Linked DNA regions of Schizosaccharomyces pombe. The gene in region 3 interacts genetically with the main gene of each other region. Each region holds a gene or a part of one and is shown on either strand. Other genes may lie near its edges. The genes, in order: hob3, hen1 and gyp1.

Evidence for each region.
Region 1: mutations in gyp1 (region 3) and hob3 impair growth when combined (synthetic growth defect), as found in Schizosaccharomyces pombe (one large-scale study listed by BioGRID).
Region 2: mutations in gyp1 (region 3) and hen1 together harm fitness less than expected from each alone (positive genetic interaction), as found in Schizosaccharomyces pombe (one large-scale study listed by BioGRID).

What each region holds. Positions count from the first base shown.
Region 1 is NC_003423.3:1,221,223-1,225,321, reverse strand, and holds hob3 (BAR adaptor protein Hob3), read left to right. Parts: upstream 1-2,116; 5' UTR 2,117-2,125; coding exon 2,126-2,173; exon of another isoform or gene 2,174-2,215; coding exon 2,216-2,962; 3' UTR 2,963-3,578; downstream 3,579-4,099. Other genes in the region: tsp0 (tspO-like protein), read right to left, coding at 1-348; pir2 (C2H2-type zinc finger domain-containing protein), read right to left, coding at 3,807-4,099. UniProt on the Schizosaccharomyces pombe protein: Involved in cytokinesis and septation where it has a role in the localization of F-actin.
Region 2 is NC_003423.3:2,744,877-2,750,358, forward strand, and holds hen1 (S-adenosylmethionine-dependent methyltransferase), read right to left. Parts: upstream 3,452-5,482; coding exon 2,315-3,451; 3' UTR 2,280-2,314; downstream 1-2,279. Other genes in the region: DNA polymerase delta catalytic subunit Cdc6, read left to right, coding at 1-2,279; ribonuclease H Rnh1, read right to left, coding at 3,915-4,641, 4,826-4,893.
Region 3 is NC_003423.3:782,637-787,770, forward strand, and holds gyp1 (GTPase-activating protein Gyp1), read left to right. Parts: upstream 1-1,929; 5' UTR 1,930-2,476; coding exon 2,477-4,021; 3' UTR 4,022-4,509; downstream 4,510-5,134. Other genes in the region: SPOM_SPBC530.02 (transporter), read left to right, coding at 5,042-5,134. UniProt on the Schizosaccharomyces pombe protein: Stimulates specifically the GTPase activity of ypt1. Functions on the Golgi as a negative regulator of ypt1.

The DNA.
Region 1 (4,099 bases), 440 kb from region 3:
GGCAAGAGCCAATTTTGGTTTTGCTAATCCGTAGAACAAGGGCATCCAAGCAAAGTTAGCGGCCAACTGTGCAATGTATAAAATGGATCCATTTCGAGAGGCATTCGTAATCATCAAAGGGTCAGCCTTGTACGCCAAATGGGATGCATATCCCATTGTTAGGTATAGTAGTGTCCATGCTGGTCCAAAGGCAGATGCAGGGGGGTGGAACTTTGGTTGCTTTTTGTTCTCATAATCCTTTCTTGGCTTGTAGGAATTCCCAATGAACCAGCCGCAGGCGACTGGAACGAGAGAAGCGGACCACCAATTTTTGGAGATGCTAGTGAATACTTGATAGTTCAAATCCATCACACTTAATAATATCGTTTACTGTTGATTAGCGAAATCGGGAAAAAAAAATTCCACGAATGTAAAGAGTACTAACAACGACTGCTACTAAAAAACCATAAGTATTTCGAATCTTAATGCAGCTCGTTTACAAACAGCAGAGATAATGTCGAGATACAAAAGGTCTTTCAAACCATGCTAAGCAAATAGACATGGAGTAGCTAGAGTTAAGTTTGATAATTAAAACTGACATACATTAAACTAGAAATTTGGAGAAGAGTTGTTGAAACTTCTAATTGAATTGAAGATTAGTAAAATTGGACCATAAAGCTTAACCATCTTTCAATCTTCCATACATTTTAAAAACGGGCACAGTATCGATATGAGAGAAATACGATACTAAACTAAAATAAAAGGAAATACTTAATTGTAGTTTGATCTTGGAAGCTACTCGAATGTATAATTCACCATATTTATAACCTCGTCTATTACGTCACAGAAGGGAAGGAGGAGCGAGGTATTGGGGTATAATACGTGTTCATACTGCGTAAGGTGGTGGTAGATGTGTCTCGCTAAAAAGTGTTTATAAGGAGTTTTCCATAAGATAATATTTTCAGTACAACTAAATTTTTTATATTATTAATATTATATTATAAAATTATGTATATCTATTAGTAGCAGCGCTTGTTTTCTGTAATAGAATATATTTGGGCTGGTCAAATGCGGTTAATTATCATCACACAGATGAGATTTATGGGCAAATTTAGTTATAAAATTAGATAAGACAACAAAGAGAGAAGAAAGGTTTATTTCGGTGCTTTTGTTTCTTACTTTCAGAAGAATCTTTCTCTTGGGCATTATCTGGATGTCTTACTGCCCACAGAACAAACAAACTGTCATTGAATGGCTGAGTTCTTGTTTCAATATCTAATATCGCTATACAATAGCTCTCAAAGTAATGCACCACTACTACAACTTAAGTTCTTCACTTTTTGAGTAAGGATGCAAACTATGAGACCGGGTTTTTTTAGCTCAAATGTCGCTGAAAAGCGTTTTCTTTATAGTTTTATCATGAATGATCTCATATATTGATAAGTAGCAATCGTGTCTTTCCATGTCGAAGCCTCAAAACATTATATCCATATAATGCAAAACCATTTATTCCACCACTTCTAATGAAATTTATAAGTTGGTAAAATGTCCGTATTTCAAATTGCTTCTCCACAATATCTTCCATTTATGAGCAAACGATATTACCTCTATATTGTCAAGTTAAAATGTTTACATTGATATATTATATTAAACTATAACATAACTATATTACCTTATAAGGCGATTTCTGCTGGATGCAGTTAGTGAACAAGAATTATCTGAGGATAGACCTCTAATTGCAGTCAGAGATTTACTACAGATGATTATACAAGAAAAATTTAGATATATTTTTTAAGCGATGTAATTTATTGATAGTGACATGAAAGTAAGCCAACCCTCGAAACCCAAATTTACCACCATTATGCTCTTGCTCTATCAATTAAACACAAAATTAACGACACGCTTTTCATCCTTATCTTTTTATAATTGCATTGTGAAATAAACTATCATTATTCTATTTAACGCAATGATAAACTTCGCAATCAGGCTTTACGTTATGGCTTTGCTTCCGTGAATTGTTCCCTACGCGAATCCTGCTGAATCCACTAAAAGATCCAATGCAGCTTAGCTAGCGAACATTAGCGCAGCGATCAACTGACATAAGATATCTGGGTATGCCGACGCTTCTCTTTTCCATATCACAAAAATGAGTTGGCATGGATTCAAAAAGGCCGTTAACCGAGCGGGTACCTCGGTATGTATTTGAGTGTTGAAGAATTGTCTAACATTGTGGTAGGTTATGATGAAGACGGGTCATGTTGAGCGAACGGTGGATCGGGAATTTGAAACAGAGGAAAGACGTTATAGAACTATGGAATCAGCTGCAAAGAAGCTTCAAAAAGAAGCCAAAGGTTATCTCGATGCTTTGAGAGCCATGACTGCGTCTCAAACTAGAATCGCTAACACAATCGATGCATTTTACGGTGATGCTGGATCGAAGGATGGTGTCAGTGCATACTATCGACAAGTCGTCGAAGACTTGGACGCCGATACCGTAAAAGAGTTGGACGGTCCTTTCCGGACAACGGTGTTGGATCCCATCTCAAGGTTCTGCAGTTACTTTCCCGATATTAATGCCGCTATCACGAAGCGTAATCACAAATTACTTGATCATGATGCTATGAGGGCTAAGGTTCAAAAACTGGTCGACAAGCCTTCCAACGACACTACTAAGCTTCCCCGTACCGAGAAAGAAGCAGCCATGGCGAAGGAGGTCTACGAGACACTCAATAATCAACTGGTCAGTGAGCTTCCGCAACTAATTGCTCTTCGTGTGCCTTATTTGGACCCTAGCTTTGAAGCCCTTGTCAAAATTCAGCTCCGCTTTTGTAGGGAGGGATATGAGAAAATGGCTCAAGTTCAGCAATACTTTGACAACTCTGTACGCGAAGACTATTCCAATGGTTTGTTGGATGATAAAGTTGAACAAGTTTTACAGAGTATGCGGGATCTTTCCATCGCCGGTTTGAACAACAGTCAGTAGACATCGGTTTTTTAAACACGATTGTATGTGTGCATAGCGCTATCACTCTGTTTTCTCTTTCCTTTTCTCCTCCGAAATAATTGTTACTACACGTAACCATGATCTCTTATCCCTCAATACTTTTTGTTTAACATATCCTTTCTCTTTTACTACTTTATTACCATCTTATCTTGTTTATCTGAAGTGGTTCACGGAATGTTTTCAATTTATTCAATTTTTTGTGATACATAAATATTTTCCATACTTATCTATCCTCGAGTATTTTCTATTGGTGTTACTGGAATTGAAGGGAAAGCCAGCACATATTTATTAAAGACTCAACTGTGAAGCTTCTACATCCTTTCAGTTTCGTAACGTTTCCTTTATAATTTTTTAATTGGGAATAGTTATCAAATTATCAGATAAACAAATTGGTTTTCCAATATTGTCTGTCGACCCAGCGATTCATCTACTAAACTGTGCTTATTTTCTATCTCGTACCAAGTTTTGTTCTAATAAATAACTATTGTTAAGTAAGTTTAGACCAAATCTTAAAATATAATAATTAGAAAAAAAAATGCTTTTGTTGACTTACGAATTATTAATTTGAATTGTAATTTATTAATTTTCCAAACAATAGCTATCTTGTAAGCTGTAAGTCAAGTTGGAAGTGGGTTTATTTCTATCTGTGCAGCGTTCGATGTTTGATTTTCGAACATGGACTTAAGCGTTCAATTTTACAATAGCTGTGAATGTAGATTATCGCTACTTTAAAATCTAAAATATAGTATGGAGCTACAACTGCTAGTAACGTCTATACAGGAAATGATATTAACCAAAAATCTTTCTGACTAAGAACATAAATTTAGTAATCTAATTCTGGAACCTCCTGGTTAGGCGCATCCAAATCTTGATAAGTTCTATAGAATTCCCGTCTGTGGATCATGGGTTCTTGCCTCGAATAAGATTTTTGTGATGATGCTCCAGAAGTTATCTCCTCGTCATTTCGTCGACTATAGCTTGTTGTTGGAAATGTATAGTTTGCGTTAATATTTCTGAAACCAACGTAGGGCTTGTTTAAAATCTGTAAGGATACATACGACGTGCTTACCACTTTGGGATCCATAGCCCTACATGGGTCAAGCACATATCCATAGA
Region 2 (5,482 bases), 2.0 Mb from region 3:
ATGGAGACTCCACTCCTTTTGTTCGTAATGTCTTTTGTGTTGATACATGCTCACAAATCGTTGGAACACAAGTATATGAATTTCAAAATCAGGCTGAAATGCTTTCAAGTTGGTCAAAATTTGTTCGTGATGTTGACCCAGATGTTTTAATTGGGTACAACATCTGCAACTTTGATATCCCTTACCTCTTGGATCGAGCAAAAAGCTTACGCATTCACAATTTCCCATTACTTGGCCGTATTCATAATTTTTTTTCTGTCGCAAAGGAAACCACGTTTTCAAGTAAAGCATATGGTACTCGTGAAAGCAAAACCACTAGTATTCCTGGGCGTTTGCAGCTTGATATGTTACAAGTAATGCAGCGTGATTTTAAGCTTCGATCTTACTCTTTAAATGCAGTCTGCTCTCAGTTTCTAGGCGAGCAAAAAGAAGATGTACACTATTCTATCATCACTGACTTGCAAAATGGCACTGCCGATTCTAGAAGACGTTTAGCTATTTATTGTCTGAAAGATGCATATTTACCCCAACGCTTAATGGACAAATTAATGTGTTTTGTTAACTATACTGAAATGGCAAGAGTAACAGGTGTACCGTTTAATTTTCTTCTTGCTAGAGGCCAACAGATTAAAGTTATTTCTCAATTGTTTCGCAAAGCTCTTCAACATGACCTAGTTGTTCCAAATATACGTGTAAATGGAACAGATGAGCAATATGAAGGTGCTACAGTCATTGAACCGATTAAAGGATACTATGATACCCCTATTGCAACACTGGATTTTAGTTCACTTTATCCTTCGATTATGCAAGCCCATAATTTATGCTATACGACATTACTTGACTCAAATACTGCAGAATTATTAAAACTTAAGCAAGATGTTGACTACTCAGTGACTCCGAACGGAGATTATTTCGTTAAACCACATGTTCGTAAAGGACTACTCCCTATTATCTTAGCTGATTTACTTAATGCACGTAAGAAAGCAAAAGCAGATCTAAAAAAGGAAACGGACCCATTCAAAAAGGCTGTTTTGGATGGTAGACAGCTAGCTTTAAAAGTAAGTGCTAATTCAGTATATGGATTTACTGGTGCTACCAACGGACGTTTGCCGTGTTTAGCAATTTCTTCTTCTGTTACCTCTTATGGTCGACAAATGATTGAAAAAACCAAGGATGTTGTAGAAAAGAGATACAGAATTGAGAATGGATACTCTCACGATGCAGTTGTAATCTATGGTGACACTGATTCTGTTATGGTTAAGTTTGGCGTTAAAACGTTACCTGAAGCCATGAAATTAGGAGAGGAAGCAGCTAATTATGTTTCAGACCAGTTTCCGAATCCTATTAAACTGGAGTTTGAGAAAGTGTACTTTCCATATCTTTTAATTTCCAAAAAACGTTATGCAGGATTATTTTGGACTCGTACAGATACTTATGATAAAATGGACTCTAAAGGAATAGAAACTGTCAGAAGAGATAACTGTCCTCTAGTATCTTATGTGATTGACACAGCTTTGAGAAAAATGTTAATTGATCAGGATGTAGAGGGTGCACAGTTGTTTACAAAAAAAGTTATTTCCGATTTGTTACAAAACAAAATTGATATGTCACAACTTGTAATCACAAAGGCATTATCAAAAACTGATTATGCTGCCAAAATGGCACACGTTGAATTGGCTGAGCGAATGCGTAAACGAGATGCTGGCTCCGCCCCAGCCATAGGAGATCGCGTTGCATACGTTATTATTAAAGGTGCACAAGGTGATCAATTTTATATGAGGTCGGAGGACCCTATATATGTATTGGAAAATAACATTCCTATTGATGCAAAATATTATTTGGAAAATCAACTCTCCAAACCTTTGCTTAGAATTTTTGAGCCTATTCTTGGTGAAAAAGCTAGCTCTTTACTTCATGGTGACCATACTCGGACGATTTCCATGGCAGCCCCCAGTGTTGGAGGAATAATGAAATTCGCAGTAAAGGTTGAGACCTGTCTTGGATGCAAAGCTCCCATAAAAAAAGGTAAAACTGCTTTATGTGAGAATTGTCTAAATAGATCGGCGGAACTGTATCAACGTCAGGTTGCTCAAGTGAATGATTTAGAAGTTCGTTTTGCTCGCTTATGGACTCAATGTCAGCGATGCCAAGGAAGTATGCATCAAGACGTCATTTGTACCAGTAGAGACTGCCCCATATTTTATATGCGAATTGCAGAACACAAGAAACTTCAGCAATCTGTTGACTTACTGAAAAGATTTGATGAAATGTCCTGGTGAAAAAGATGGATGTTTTTAATTACTAAATGTGTATATCAAACGTAATGATGAAAAGTTATAATAAAAATTCTACTTTTCTTAAGTACTTTTGCAATGCGAAAACTAAACGAGTTTGCCAAAGCTATACCTTTATGTTTGCTTTTTTTTAATTCAGGACAATATGATAAGTAAATTGAATCATCATAATGGAAGGCATGTCGAATGAGAGGCGAAGACTCCCAGATAAACAAGAAAGGTAATTTTACTGACAAAGCACACTTGCCAGCAATAACCTGGAATAAAAGTAAACAGTGACGTCCAAATAAATGATCAAAAAATGCTTTTTTCAGAAGATTCATAAATTGCTGCACTGTTGGAGGAAATAGTTGCTCCATAAATGGGTATGTAATCTTTTTGTAAAGAAGGATGCTTGAATTTTGGTCTTTTAAGAAGCAATGAGAAGCAGCATTGTTTTTAGATTGATGAAATACTGCGATTTGGGTGCAGAAACCGTAAGTAGATGATGGGCGAAAATGTAACAAATCGTCACCATCTATTAGATCATTTAGCAAACCACAGCCCGTAAATTCAACAGTATACTCTGGGTATCTTTTACAAATTTTATAAGCCCATTTAGCAAACTCTTTTCGATCCCATTCAAAAACGTGTTCAGGATGTCTAAAATTGGTAGAAGTACGAGATGATATACTACTTGTCAAGGTTGATAGTTTCTCAAAGATTGTGTTAAATTCAAAATTCGGAGTTGACACTACGCAAACATTGGGCTTCAAGTTTCCAAAAACAAGTTTTTCAAAGGCTAAAATCTCTGCAACTTGACAATGCTCAATAAACTCTGAAGCTACAACCGCATCAACATGTTTATAATGAGTAAAATCTTTAATATTACCAAGCAATAATTCAATATGTAGCGGTCGCCAACGTAGTTGTAAAAAGTCTTCGGTTCTAACCTGTAAAGCCTCAGTAGCTCTTTCAATACTTTGTTCGTTAATATCAATACCGGCCAGAAATTCTATAGGCACTTGATCATTGCAAGGTACTAAATATGATAGAAAACGAGCATCTCCACATCCAATGTCTAACAAAGATCGCACAGGGAAGCCTCCTTGAAGTATTTTAAATAATTTCCTTCGACGCTGTACATGCAAAGGTGGGTAAAAGCTAGAGACACCCATTGTCTAAACTCAAAGTATTTTTGGTACACTTTCTTCACGTTAGTCAAATAACTACCTATTAACTGTGAATGTTCGTTTCAAAACCACTATTTAAGCCTTTTCAAATTCATTACGAAGCGAATTGTTATTAATTCTTTGCTAAGTCCATTGCAATATGATTTCGATGACTGCCGTTAAGACACCGAACCAAATTTAATTGAAAAGGGAATTGTTGACTAGTGCGAAGTGTCATTTTCAACGTTAAATAATAAAATTATCTTAGCTCCGAATCTATACTTTTCAATTTCCTCTTTAAAATTGTTATAATAGCATGATATTTAATTACAATAAAATATGTAGCATTATGCAAAACGAGAACAAAAAAAGCACATACAACCAGCGAAGAGTAGACGAAAATTATACGGCAAATTTCAAAAGAATGTACCTATATCCATTTTTTACAGCGCTCATCATAGATGACCATTTACTCAGAAGCTCCTCGCCGAGCAAGCATATCGGCTTGTTGATTACCGTAATCGGTACTGTGTCCTTTCACGTACTCTAGCGAAACATTTCTGTCACTCATCAAATCTGAAGCGCGGTTGATCAAATCCAAATTTTTTACAGGTTGTGAATTGCTAGTCTTAAAGTCATTTTTCTTCCATTTAGGCAGCCATGTGGTTAGTGACTTAATGGAATAATTGCTGTCAGAGCGGATGGTCAAATCGCCAGATGTATTTTCAAGGGCTAGGATTATGGCTTGCAATTCCGCACGATTGTTGGTTTGCTCTTCCCCAGCCAACGGTACTGAAATATTTCTTGGGTCATCATTTCCGAAAAAAACTCCACAGCCAGCAACAGCTCCTTTTTTCCCATTTCGCAAACTAGAACCGTCAGCATAGACGACCTGTCGATCCGAGCACGCAATTGATTTTTCATGAGTGTCATTCGAAAATATTTCAATATCTTTTTCGGTACTATAACTTCTAGAAATTTTCTTTCTATATTTATCGGAGTGTCTAGCAGAGTAATTTGAGGAACTAGAAGAATATGGAGAGTACCCATAACTTGTTGTACTGCGGCGATATGGGCCAGAAGACGAGGAGTAGCGACTTCCTTCGGTCCTGCAAAATTCCTGAGCAGCCTCATAGCTGTCAAATTTCTTGTAGCGATTACCTCCATAACCTTTCACCTGATCCGACGCCTCATCCCTAAAAATTAGTAAGAGTTTGTTAAACAACAAGGTGTATCCATCAAGGAAATGTTAATAAGAGATCATCTTGAAAAAACCGATTCAGATTGAATTGAAGCAAAGCATACGACCGTATCGAAACTTGCTTAACGTGAAACTTATATTTAACAACGAAACCATTTTCTTGAGATACGCAGTCTTACCATGTACTATATATACCAGTATTTCGACCACGCGCTACTGCATAGTATGCACGCTTATTTCCACCCATTTCGTAATGCGAAGATTCAAAAATAGCTTTAAAATAGTAAAACTTAGTAAAACTTGGGAGTTTTTCCCAAAACTTTGCAAAAATACTTGTAGTTGACAAATTGAGCTGTAGTCTTATGAGTTATTGAAAATAGTGCAGAAAAAAGAAGGATTTGGATTTATAAATTTATATTAATTTGTAAAAGAGTTCAATTGACGATTAATAATGGTAGAGCATCAGGAAATGTCACATATCTGGACTACTGCAGTACGATACATAATAAAACGGGTTTGCTTATTTACTAGCTGCATAATCTCTGCACACTATATTACGGTAAGCTAGTTAGATCTCCGCGACTGTTATACCGCCTGACATTAAAATTAATACACAATTGATAGTATATTTTATTAGTTAAAAGCTCCTTAAATATAGAATACTCATTTTATGTCCTTAGCTCATTTAATGTAGTCTAATTTCAAACAAGCAGAAAAATGTATTGTTTGTTTAGTAATAATTGTTTAAGTCATTTTACCTTTTTAAGATTATACTTTCATAAAGAATCCTCATCTCTGTTGGCCTCTGAGTAGTTTGCAAATTGCGCAATTGTTAT
Region 3 (5,134 bases):
ACGATGTATAGGATTCGTTCTGACAGCTTCATTTTTATTCCAGCAAAGCGAAGCAAAACGGATCATTCGCTTCGTGCCAAAACAATGTTGTTTTATGGATTAAAAGATGATCTTCTTAAAGCAGCCATGGCTAAGCATTCATAATACGTGATAGATCATGTTATAGACTTCATCTTTGTAGATCATATAAATGCTTAAGTGTTGAGTCAATGACACATAGACTGTACTTGTCTATTTAATTTGTCTAACGTATTACATTCATAAAAAGCGCGTAAACGTGTTGAGTCTTATAGAAGTTGTTATGACTAGCAATTCAAGAACAAGTCTGATTCATAACATTATTTAACATTTCTTTATTCCATTTCATTTTATTCTTTCTCTATGTTAAAATTCTTGACTTTGCAATATAAACAGACAAATATGCACCAAGTAGCTTGTACAAATAGCTCCTAAACGATCTTTGAATGCATGAAGATAATATTCTATATACCAAGGATTTGAATACTTCACGATCTTACTGTATGAATATATAAACAATAAATAGAAAATTTCTAGTGAATCGACAGTACTCTGACTGATTATTAATTTTTTCTTTAAAATGTTTAAATATTCTACTTTAAACGTCTACGGCCATACCTAGGCGAAAACACCAGTTCCCGTCCGATCACTGCAGTTAAGCGTCTGAGGGCCTCGTTAGTACTATGGTTGGAGACAACATGGGAATCCGGGGTGCTGTAGGCTTCCTTTTATTCTTTTTGCTTTTTGTTTGAGCTCATTTGGGAATAATAATCATTTACCTTGATTCGTACTTATTCATTTCAATACCTTTGCACATAATATTATTGTGTACTATGAATGATATTTTGGCAACCAGGAAATCTTCTTACAAGTCGTAATACGACTTAAAGGGAAGATGTATGGTTTATTTTATTGTCATACAGTAACCTTTATTATTGGATTGGAGTTGTAGTTTCGATTTCATCACAATGAATAACGATACTCTAGAGTGTTTTCCAAGATGTAAACGAGAGAAGGAAAGTGTTTTTTGGATGATTATTAAACTTACTATAATTTTTGATTGTTCTCAATATAAAATTTATCTTAGTACATATTTATTTTGTTCTCATGTCAGTTTTGGAGAACATACATTACAATTTCTTGACAAGACAACATTTGGAAAATTGCTCTGTTCATTAAAACATTGAAAACCGTATATGTTTTTTAAATCATTCCTCTTCAATGCATTTGTTGAAGTAATTTTACTGAATCAAAGATATAAATACATGTTTGAAAACAAATACCCGAAACTGCTAAAAAAAAGACTGGGATTGAAAGTTAGACTAGATTCGTTGATCATCTACTTGAAAAATGTGTTTTGTTAGAAATATATAGGAACAGGAAAATCTTAGACTGTATTTCAGGAAAATTTAAACTTAGTAGGTATTAAAATGCTTATAATTCATCGTATTATATTAGGTAACTAGGATGTCAATACGAAAAATAACAATAAAATCAGAGATTCATTATTGACAGGAAATACTTTTTTACGTTTCTTAATCAACGTTTATACTTTTCTCTTTTTTGTTTTGAAAAGCGACTAGTCACAATTGTCAAAATTACATTGTTCACTTTTACTGGCAGCAACTTAAGTAAAGAAGAGATAGAACTCATAGATATAAACATTGTTAAATGAGACCTAGCTGTGTATCTTTTACTACTCTGCGCATATAAACCCAACATTCCCAAGCAATAAGACCATGCACGGCCAAAATCCTTCTATCAACTGTTCATGGCTTAAAACGAATTTCCTTTAACTAAAAAGTGAGATAAATAATTAAAGTATTAAACCTTGCTCCTTTTATTAAAAAAACCTCATATATAAGAAACTCCATACACCTACTGTTTTCCTCCCTATTGTTTTGTTCTTCCACCAAATAAGGGCAACTGCCTTGGCAACTGCACAGACCGAGTAAATCTTCACAATTTCGTTGATATTCGGTTAAAATTTGTAAATATACTAGTGTATTGGATTGTATCTAAGGTTTTCTCGAAACATTTGTTCGTGTTCAAATTCCGCGCTGTTCTAATAGATCACAAGATCTCGAGCTGGTGCGTTTTCGTTTGGATGGAACCCACAGACACGGCTTTGCTTCTAATAGCTTAAGTTTTTTTTTTTTGAAAATAGTTTTCATTTGATAAGAAAAGAATAAGACTTCAAGTCCGGTAAGTCTATGAGTGGTGCCTAAGATCCTTCGTCGTTAAACATTTGAAGTTATTGCCTTCTAAAACGTTTCATCTACTTTTTACAGCAAATTTTGAAACTGTTTTTTGCATCTTAACCAAAAGTATTTTATTTTGGCGATAAATTCAAAGAGTATCTGTTATTTGCTAAATTTGTTGTGTCCATCAAGGCTATCAAATTACTGCTTCATTTTGTAAAAACAATTTTTCTTCTCGTATTTTAAGATTTTCCACTATGGAATCTCAGTCAAAAAAGTCGTCCGCCTTAAAAACTCTCTCCAGCTTATGGAATGGATCCTCTAGCGCCACTTCGGATCCAGTTACTGTTTTGGATCGAAGCCGGACCCATCACCATCGTGGTCGAAGCACTTCTTCCAAAGCTCAACCGTTCAGATTGGACGACTCTGTTTACTCAGATCAACCCCCAAAAGATCATATCTCTTTGGCCCGGTCCATAACTAGACCCGAATCTGCTAGTGAGTCTAAAATCTATGCACCTTCTGCGAGATCTTCTCTTTCCTTGGAAGCTGTTGTAGGCAAAAAAGTGTCTGCAAAGTTTGCCAAATATTTGTCACAGACAGATGACGATTGGGGAGTTTCGAATATTAAAGCCTCAAAATCTCTTCCTCGTATGGCTCGAAGTACTACTCCAAATTCTTCAAGCCGCTCCTTATTTCCTCAAAATGGCGTGGATACTACCACTTCTAGACAAAAGCTTCATTCGTCTGGTCGTTTTCCTTTACCCGCTAAACTAGCCCATCGTTCTGTAGAAGTTGAGGTTGCTGAAAGCAATGCGCTTGTCTCTCGGATCAAGAAGTTTTCGCGAATTCTTGATGCTCCAATTGTGGATTTAAATGCGCTTCGTACATTGGCTTGGAATGGAATTCCCTCCGAACATAGACCTATTGTCTGGAAATACTTGTTAGGATATTTACCTTGTAATGCTTCTCGTCGTGAAGTCACTTTAAAGCGAAAGAGAGACGAATATAACGCAGCAAAAGATTCCTGCTTTAATACAAATACAGAGCCACCACCTTTGGATCAAACTATTTGGCGACAAATTGTCCTTGACGTTCCGAGGACGAACCCCTCTATTCTTCTTTACCAAAACCCATTGACGCAGCGTATGCTTGAGCGTATTTTATATGTTTGGGCCTCACGGCACCCAGCCAGCGGATATGTACAAGGCATCAGCGATTTAGTTACTCCTTTTATTCAGGTGTTTTTGTCCGAATATATCGGCGATAAGGACCCAATGACATATGACATTGCTCTTCTTGATGAAACTAATCGTAATGATATTGAGGCTGATGCTTACTGGTGTCTTTCTAAATTGTTAGATGGTATCCAAGATAACTATATACATGCACAGCCTGGAATCCGTCGACAGGTGAATAATCTGCGAGAGCTTACTTTACGTATAGATGAGCCATTAGTAAAACATCTTCAAATGGAGGGTGTTGATTTCCTTCAGTTTAGTTTTCGCTGGATGAACTGTCTTTTAATGCGCGAGCTTAGTATTTCGAATATCATTCGGATGTGGGATACATACATGGCGGAAGGTGTCCAAGGATTTTCTGAGTTTCACCTCTACGTATGTGCTGCATTTTTAGTGAAATGGTCGAGTGAATTACAAAAGATGGAATTTCAGGATATATTAATTTTTCTGCAGTCTATTCCGACAAAAGATTGGAGCACAAAGGATATCGAAATTTTACTATCTGAAGCTTTCCTATGGAAATCATTGTACAGTGGAGCTGGTGCACATTTGAAAAGGTAAGGCATAGTAGCCATTTCGTTTTCCCTTTTCAGAGCATTCGTCTTCTTCCTTAATCCCTTGCTTATTTTGGCATAGCAGCCTTTTTCAAATGCCATCCTTCCTATGCATTTTTATAATTAGGTTGACAAATCTCCTTCGTTAATTCATTGTGTTGCTTTTCTATGTTTATGAGCTTATGAGTCTAAGTCTTACTTCTTCTAATAAATTTTCCTTTCATTCACCTAAATAACTTTTCAAGTTTGCTCCTTAACTCAGCTGGATTGAGTTTGCGACTTTTAGAATTTATCATGCAGGATAAAGTATTTCTCTTGAAGAAAGTCTGAACTACCTTAATCATTTTTGGGAAGTTATTAACCCTTGAATTAAATTGTATATTCACTATTACTTATATGTAATTTGTCTTTACTCTTACGTTCGACCGTTCTCTAACCCTTTTCCAGTTTGACTTACGTTACTACTTTACTATTCAACGATTGTTTAGTCCATGGCGTGATACTTTACATGAATCGTTATTAATATCATTTTTTTTTCTCTTCTATGCTAGTCATGTTTTCTTTGGTTTTATCCAAGATTGTACATTACGATTTCAAAGTACGACTTTTGTATTGGTAAGAGATGATGAAAATCGACAAGACTGTACTACATGGTCTGTGTCTTCTTCCTTGATTCGACCAAAATGTATGGATGAATTAGAGTAGATAATGAAAACGCTGTGACAATTTTTGAATATTTATACAACTTAATACAGTTTTTGAACTGAAATAAAGAAGCACGTTCCATTGCGTTATAGAATCATTGTATTACTTTTCATGAAGAAGAAATCATTTATTTATAACTATAGGATCAATTTCTTATCTTTTAAATTTCAATACTCATAGCTTTTTCATGCTGATTTTGCAACTGCTTACCACAACAGCATTTGCAGTGACTGTTTTTCAAACTATATTTACTATATAAGGGAGACTTTGCCTATTACCTCTACGTCTGGCTTAGGAGCGCAAATTAAGCGATAAGAAAGAAATGGATCTGTATCTTTTAGCAAGCGGCAGAAAGTTTGGGGTTGTAAAGTCTGACTGTATATCCAATAACGGAGTAAATGTGAAGGATGTTGGA